Linked DNA regions of Mus musculus. The protein of the gene in region 2 binds, or shares a complex with, the protein of the main gene of each other region. Links are inferred from orthologs where the notes say so. Each region holds a gene or a part of one and is shown on either strand. Other genes may lie near its edges. The genes, in order: Flt3l and Flt3.

Region 1 (3,065 bases), on a different chromosome or scaffold from region 2:
CTCTGCTGCCAAGTTTGACCACTTGAGTTCCATCCCTGGGACCAACATGGTGAAAGGAGAGAACCAGCTACCCACAAGTTGTCCTCTGACTTATATACAGGTGCCATAATACACTTTGCCTGCTCCCCATGTGTAATTTTTTTCAATTTATTGGGGGGGGGGTCTGGTGTAATTTCTTTAAAAAGATGAATTACTTTCAGGTGTGGTAGAACACACCTGTGACCCCAGCACTCCAGAGGTAGAGACCGGAGGATTGCACCCACATTCCAGGCCATCGGAGCTACATAGACCCTATCTCAAAAACTAATAAATAGAGTTGGTTTTACAGACATGTATCACTATGGCTGTGTGTTTCAGAAACAAGCCCAGAAATGGGAAACCACAAAATTTAAAAACTTAAATTTAAAAAATGTAAACAATCTAATTGGTTTTTGTTGTTGTTCATTTGCTTTTTGTTTTTTCAAGACAGGGTTTCTCTGTGTAGCCCTGGCTGTCCTGGAACTCACTCTGTAGACCAGGCTGGCCTTGAACTCAGAAATCTGCCTGCCTCTGCCTCCCAAGTGCTGGGATTAAAGGCGTGCGCCACCACGCCCCGATTAGGAGCCATAGTCTTACATGTGCAGGGATCCTGCCACTAAGCTCCAGTTCCAGCATTTCTGCTTTTCATTGTTATTTTGACACACATTTCCTGAAGTTGCCCAGGCTGGCCTTGAAGTTTTGATCCCTCTGCCTCAGCCTCCTGAATACTGAGATTCCAGGCACGCAGCACCATACCCAGCAGTTGCTTTTATTTTAAGGGGTGGAGGTGACAAAAGCAACCACACAGGGCTACAACGCACCCCCCTTCTTCCTTTCTGTTTTTCTTAAAGTCAGTATCCTCCAGTTTCAGCATGTCCAATCCAGAAGCACTGGAATTACAGTGTCCATCGCCATACCCAGACAGTGTGTCCTCTGGGCTGGGGATGTAACTCAGCACAGCACTTGCCTAGCTTGTTCCTTGTTTTGGTTCCCAACTCTAGCACCAAGAAAGAAGAAAAGAAAGCCTTGTTGTATATAGCATGCCCGTAAGCCCAGCTGTTTGGAAGTTTGTGGGGCAGGAAGGTGCATCGAGGTTTTCAAAGTCAGTTTGGGCAACATATTGAGACCTCATCTGAAAAAAAAAATAAGTGTCACTTAACTGAGAGTTTTTGTTTGTTTATTTGAGACAGGAGACGAGTTGGCTGTGTATTTCACAATGGCCTTGAACTCACCTTGTAGTGGAGAGTGGCCAGACCATTCAGCAATCCTGCTCTGGGCTCCCAAGGGCTGAGATTACAGGTGTAACCTCCACACGAGAGGTATTACAAGTGTAAGACACATCATATTCTAAAATACGGGTGCTGGCAGGGCACCCGCCTTCTGCCCCCTTGCTCATTCTCACAGCAGGCTCTCTCACAAGCCTTCCCGGCTCTCCACAGCTTACGATTGTCGGAGCTGCCGAACCCCTGAGCTTGTCACACTGGACACTTAGTCAAGACCGTGCTGCCCCTGACATACACACCACTCCCCTGAATCCCCGCCCCTCCTGTGAGAGACAATAAGACAGCTCCCCAAATCCTGGACTGACCCCCAAGCCTGGCTGTTCCAGGCTCCAGTATAAGTGGAAGACTCACCGAGATAAGACCCTGGCTGAGTCAACGATGCACAAGGCTCGCATCCTAGGGATGGGAGGGGAGGGGCACCTGAGGCCCCCACAAGGTCAGCCACCTGCCCCCCTCATCCCTCGCCACCCACTCCATCCAGCCGCCCTGGACTCTAGGCTCTAGGCTCACCCCAGGGTGGAGCTCCCCCCTCCTTCTTGCCCTTTGCCAGCGAAGGCCCCAGGCGGCTGCCAGCAGCACCAGTGTGAGAGGCAGCAGCAGCAGCAGCAGGAGCAACAGCTGCCTGGGCCGAGGCTCTGGGAGCTCCGTGGCTTCTAGGGCTATGGGACTCCTTGGGGGCAGCAGGGTGGAGGAGTCTGGGGAGAGAGAAGAAGCAGGTAACTGAGGGGGCTCATCAGCGCAAACGTGGAACGTCCTGGAGAATACGGGTGATGGGTGGTTCATGAGGAGCCTATTAACAACAAAACCTAGACCTGGGGGCATAAGGTAGGCCTGGCAGACCACGCCTTTAACAATTCAACACTCAGGAAGCAGAGGCAGACAGAGCTCTGTGAATTTGAGGCTAGCCTGGTCTACATAGTAAGTTGTAGGACTGACAGGAATGTATCAAGAAACACTGAAAAATAAACCAACACTGGGGATAAAAAGTGTGAGCATGGCTGGGCATCCTGGTCTACACCTTCAACCCCAGAAGTCAGGAGCAGAAGCTGAGGGATCTCAGCCTGGTCAGCATAGCAAGCTACAGGCAGCCAGGACTATAGAGACAGACTGTCTCAAAAGAACACCGTCAAAACAGAGGGGAGGGGAAAAAAGAGAAAACAGTGAGCATGGCTATTGGTATTGTTACCCAGAAACCATGCTCACTCCGTGTACGTTCCCTGTACACAGGACTGCCCTAGATAAACATACTGGAAATTCTGTCTCCTTCTCAAAGATAGGTGACCTGGGGCCATAAAAAGGAATGGCCTGTCCTTTCCTGGGCATCTATAGCAATTAGAAGGTTGCTAAACAGGAAGAAACATTTTCTTCAGAAGTTTAGCCGTGGGTAAAGTGCCCTCTTACAGGCTACCTGCCTAACTGGCTTTAAAAAAAAAAATATATATATATATATACATATATATATATATACATATATATATGTATATGTATATATATGTGCATATATATACATATATATATGAAGGAAAGAAAGGAGAGGGACCATTGGAGAGAGAAAGGGGATCAGTGAGATAGGACGCACAGGAGAAAGTCATGGTGTGATGGAAATGCAGACATGGATGACATGAGACGTTGCTATACATAATATATGATGACAAAAACATGAAAAAAAGGAAAGGAAAGGAAGCCAGATGTTCTGGCTTCATACCTGTAATCCCAGCACTCAGGACACTGAGGCAGGAGGATTGCTTTGAGTTCAGGGTCAGC
Region 2 (3,821 bases):
CCTTGCCTGGCCTGGAATTTGCTCTGTAGACCAGGCTGATGTTAAACTCACAGAGACCAGCCTGCCTCTACCTCCCAAGCGATGCTGGGATTAAAGGCATGCATCAGCATGCCATGTGTGATGCTGGTTTCACACAGTTGTTAGTTTCTTAGGGTTCACAAGTCCATAGATAAATCAGTAAGGTGAAATCAGGAGATGGGGTATAAAAGGAGAGGAAAAGAGCAAGAACACAGAGGTCAGCTCTTACAAAAATTTAAAATTTACTTTCTTCTCATCATTTCATCTACAACTAGGTGCAAGTTAATAAGATGGAGAAAGGCAGAAACATTAGGATGCAGTTAAAACTAGAGCAGAATTTAGCGGCTGAGCTTAGCCTGCCATTTAGACTAGAACTTACACACACACATGCACATACACACACACACACACACACACACACACTCATACATACATATGCACATACATTAAATACACACACAAAAATAATGACGGTTTTATTCAATTACTGAAAAGGAGATATTTTGCTTTAGCTTTGCTTCTTGTTTATTTATAGATGCTCTTTATATATTGTTACTATCTATCTGTAGTTAATAGTAGAGATAGTTTTGTAGACTACAAGTATCTTTTCTCATTCTGCGGTAGTTTTCATCTTTTATCCCTGTAATTTCTAAACTTGGTTCCCATTCTACACTTTGGTAGGGACATCAGAGTTTGTCGAACCTGTCAGTACCCTTAAGTGTCATGTTCCCAGAACTGTTCTGAATGGGGACAAGACATTTGCAGACCACAATAGCAATGTTGTGGTGTTCAAAGGTTGGACAGCCTCCTTACTTCAAGGGCTTGCCCCTCTCTTAAATAGAGCACTGAAGCCAGGGGTGGTGATGTGTGTCTGTAAGCCCCAGTGCAGGAAGTGGGAAGATCAGGAGTTCAAAGCCAGTCTGGGCTGCACACTGAGACCTTATCTTAAGGAAAGAAAAACCTTGCTGTTGGCTTTAAGCATCTTCAATTAGGAGCTGAGGCCACTGGGAGCTAATTACTATGCTAATTACTATTTGTGTGAGTTAGCTCAGGGGTCCTGGGGCAAACTTTCCCTGTATCACTCCATCTGATCCACCCGCATCGCAGCTCCCCACACCACACCACCCCCACTCCCTAAGCTGCCTTAACTGAAGGAATCCCAAGTGTTCTGCCATCATGGTTGCTCTGTATTTTTTCATCTGAAAAATAATGTAAAATTAAAAGCAGCATAGAGGCAGGAGTGGTGGCACACACTTTTGTGCCATACATGGGTGGCAGAGACAGACATACATGTCTGTGTATTCAAGGGCAACCTGGACTACAGAGGGCCAGCCAGGTCTATATAGTAAAACTCTGTCTCAGAAAAAAAAAAATCTGTTAATCTTCTAGAACACAACTGCTTGTACAGTGTTGCAAAAGAGAGAGAAAGAAGGAGCCCGTGGAGCCTGTATCTTCACTGGACAAAGAGCCCACACTTAAATGTCCCACCAGAGGCCTGAGGAGGTAGGAATGGGGCAGGGGTGGAGGCCCAGGCAAAGAGCAGCACAAGACAGCTCCTGAGTTGTGTACTTCTGGGTTTGTGTTCCTGTTTCAGTCACTTCTCTGAGAAAATGGGTGAGACCACTCTGTTCTTGACTTTGCCATGCAGGCTGACTGTGTGATCCAGGATGATGACCCTCGGGGAACCTAGAGTGTCCCCCAGTACTAGGAGCTATGACGATAGGACCACAAATGCCACCAAGGCTCCAAGTGGGGTGACAAGCAAGTGCAGAAATGGCTCTCGTGGGCCCCCAGTTTTGCCAGTCACAAACACATCAGGTGTCTGTGTTCATATCAACACACAGGCCAACCTCTGTGAGCACCTGAGGTGGGGCATGCGGAGGTCCATAGGGAAGGGCCTCCGTGGTCACTCCTGACCATGGTCACTCCTGACAGGCCCCTCTGTGGCTGCACACTGCCTCAGCTTCGTGAATCCGAGTCATCCACAGGGAAAAGGGCAGCCTAGCAATGTGCAGCAGGCAGCTTAGTGGGTGCCAACCCTGAGCCTGTGGCACTGCCTGAGCCCCCAAAGACACAAGGCTCTACATGCAGCCACCTCTGCAGTCACAGGAAGGAAAACAGGGTGCACGGTACATGTAGCACCATGTCTGCGCCAGTTAAGGCACCGGTCTGACAGTTTACATCTGCAAAAACCAATGTCATCCTCAGCAGCCACCCTGGCTGTATGCGATTATCTATTTTCAGATTTTAATTCATTCACATGAGATAAAAAATTTTTTAAAAATGTCCCCTGCTTACACTAGCCAGTGTTCTTAACTGCCGAGCCACCGCCCCAGCTCGGAGGTATGGGCTTTCATTCCCCTTCAAAAGCTCATAGTATTAGAACCAGAAATAAAACCCAGGACATTTAGTCAGCAAGGTGCCAAGTGCTTGCAATCAAAAGATTTAGGAGGATGAGGCAGGAGGATTGTGAGTTCAAAGCTACATACTGAGTTTGAGGTTAGCCTGGGAAAAATTTGGAGACACAGGATTTTTTAAAAAATTATTATTATTATTCCCAAGTCAAAATACTCTTTGCAGTTCTTCCAGGTCTGTGTTAAAAAGTCCTGAGTAGCTACCTTTGGTGACCCCAGAGATGAGTGGAAGCACACTAGGTCCCGAAGCACGCACTGCCTCGGGACGCAGGAAGTGCCCAGGAGGCGGCCACACTTACCTCTTACATTCACTGTGAACAGTACTGTGTAGTTGGCGGCTTCGCTCTGAATATGGAGTAGGTATTCTCCTGCCTGGGTCTCTGTCACGTTCAAGATGGCCATGGAAACGATTCCTCTGCGGAATGAGAAAGAGGACTGGATTCTCTGGAAAACACTCAGGACTAACAGCCTCAGCTTCTCCATGAGTCAGAGGGTGAGCGCTGTCTTCGAAGCTATGGCTAAGGGCTGCTCTGTGCAGAACCCGGCTCTGGTCCAGCACCCAGGCTCATCTTGGGCACAATCAGCTCGGCTGTGACTTGTACCTAACACCCACCCTCAGAAGTGAGATTTGGCTCAGTAGTAGAAGAGGGCTATAGCAGTGGGAAAAGCCGCAATTTTACAAGGTTATGGGGTACTATTAGTTGTTATAAACATTTTGTACAGATGTATCTCATACCCAATAACAAAATACTTATTTTGTCAGGGCATATCAAGGTTACAAATTACATATGTACATCAACCTTTAAAGTTAAATTATTTTAAATATTTATATTTATTTATGTATATAAATATTCATTTATTCTTCTTGTATGTGTATGAGTGTTTTGCCTGCACGAATCTATGTGCATCACTTGCACTCAGTGTCCATGGAGGCCATCAGATCTCCTGGGACTGAAGTCACAGACAGTTACAAGTGGCAGTGTGGGTGCTGGGAAACCCAACCTGAATCCACTGGAAGAGCAGCTCATGTGCTTAACCATTGAGCCATCTCTCCGGTGCCTTGGGTTTTATTTCTCGGAGCAGCATTGGATCTGCCCACTTCACCACACACCCTTGGTGTTATCACTATCGTGTGCAGGTCTGGTTTGTGCTAACAGAAGAAGAGAGATGGGTTACCCTAACCCTCATCACCACCAGCTGGCGTCTACAGATGCCATTAATGTCTCTTTTTGGGCAGCACCTCCTACACATGACAGATACACAGCGTCATGTGCCCATATCCTAATCCTACGTGCGTTCATTATTTCAGCAGAGAGAAGTCAAAACACACACACGGATGGATTCTCAGTCAGGCCCAGTGGTGTATGCCTGTAAACAACTTCAGCATCC

Evidence for each region.
Region 1: the proteins of Flt3 (region 2) and Flt3l are in contact, whole or in part, in a crystal structure (PDB 7QDP), measured with the Homo sapiens proteins. The link is inferred for Mus musculus from reciprocal best matches to the Homo sapiens genes FLT3 and FLT3LG. Residues at the interface, in NP_004110.2 of Homo sapiens: Asp180, His279, Gly280, Phe281, Gly282, Met300, Ser301, Thr302, Tyr303, Asn306, Arg307, Met309, Arg311, Ser333; in NP_001191431.1 of Homo sapiens: His34, Ser35, Pro36, Ile37, Ser38, Ser39, Asp40, Lys44, Lys87, Glu99, Asn102, Thr103, Glu104, His106, Phe107.

The regions. Positions count from the first base shown.
Region 1 is NC_000073.6:45,130,417-45,133,481, forward strand, and holds the end of Flt3l (fms-related tyrosine kinase 3 ligand precursor), read right to left. Parts: exon of another isoform or gene 3,007-3,065; intron 1,997-3,006; coding exon 1,812-1,996; coding exon of another isoform or gene 1,722-1,811; coding exon 1,698-1,721; coding exon of another isoform or gene 1,674-1,697; 3' UTR 1,653-1,673; exon of another isoform or gene 1,179-1,652; intron 1,151-1,178; exon of another isoform or gene 1,016-1,150; 3' UTR 773-1,015; downstream 1-772. UniProt on the Homo sapiens protein: Stimulates the proliferation of early hematopoietic cells by activating FLT3. Synergizes well with a number of other colony stimulating factors and interleukins. Required for the development of B cells, and dendritic cells (DCs).
Region 2 is NC_000071.6:147,372,912-147,376,732, forward strand, and holds part of Flt3 (receptor-type tyrosine-protein kinase FLT3 precursor), read right to left. Parts: intron 2,848-3,821; coding exon 2,732-2,847; intron 1-2,731. UniProt on the Homo sapiens protein: Tyrosine-protein kinase that acts as a cell-surface receptor for the cytokine FLT3LG and regulates differentiation, proliferation and survival of hematopoietic progenitor cells and of dendritic cells.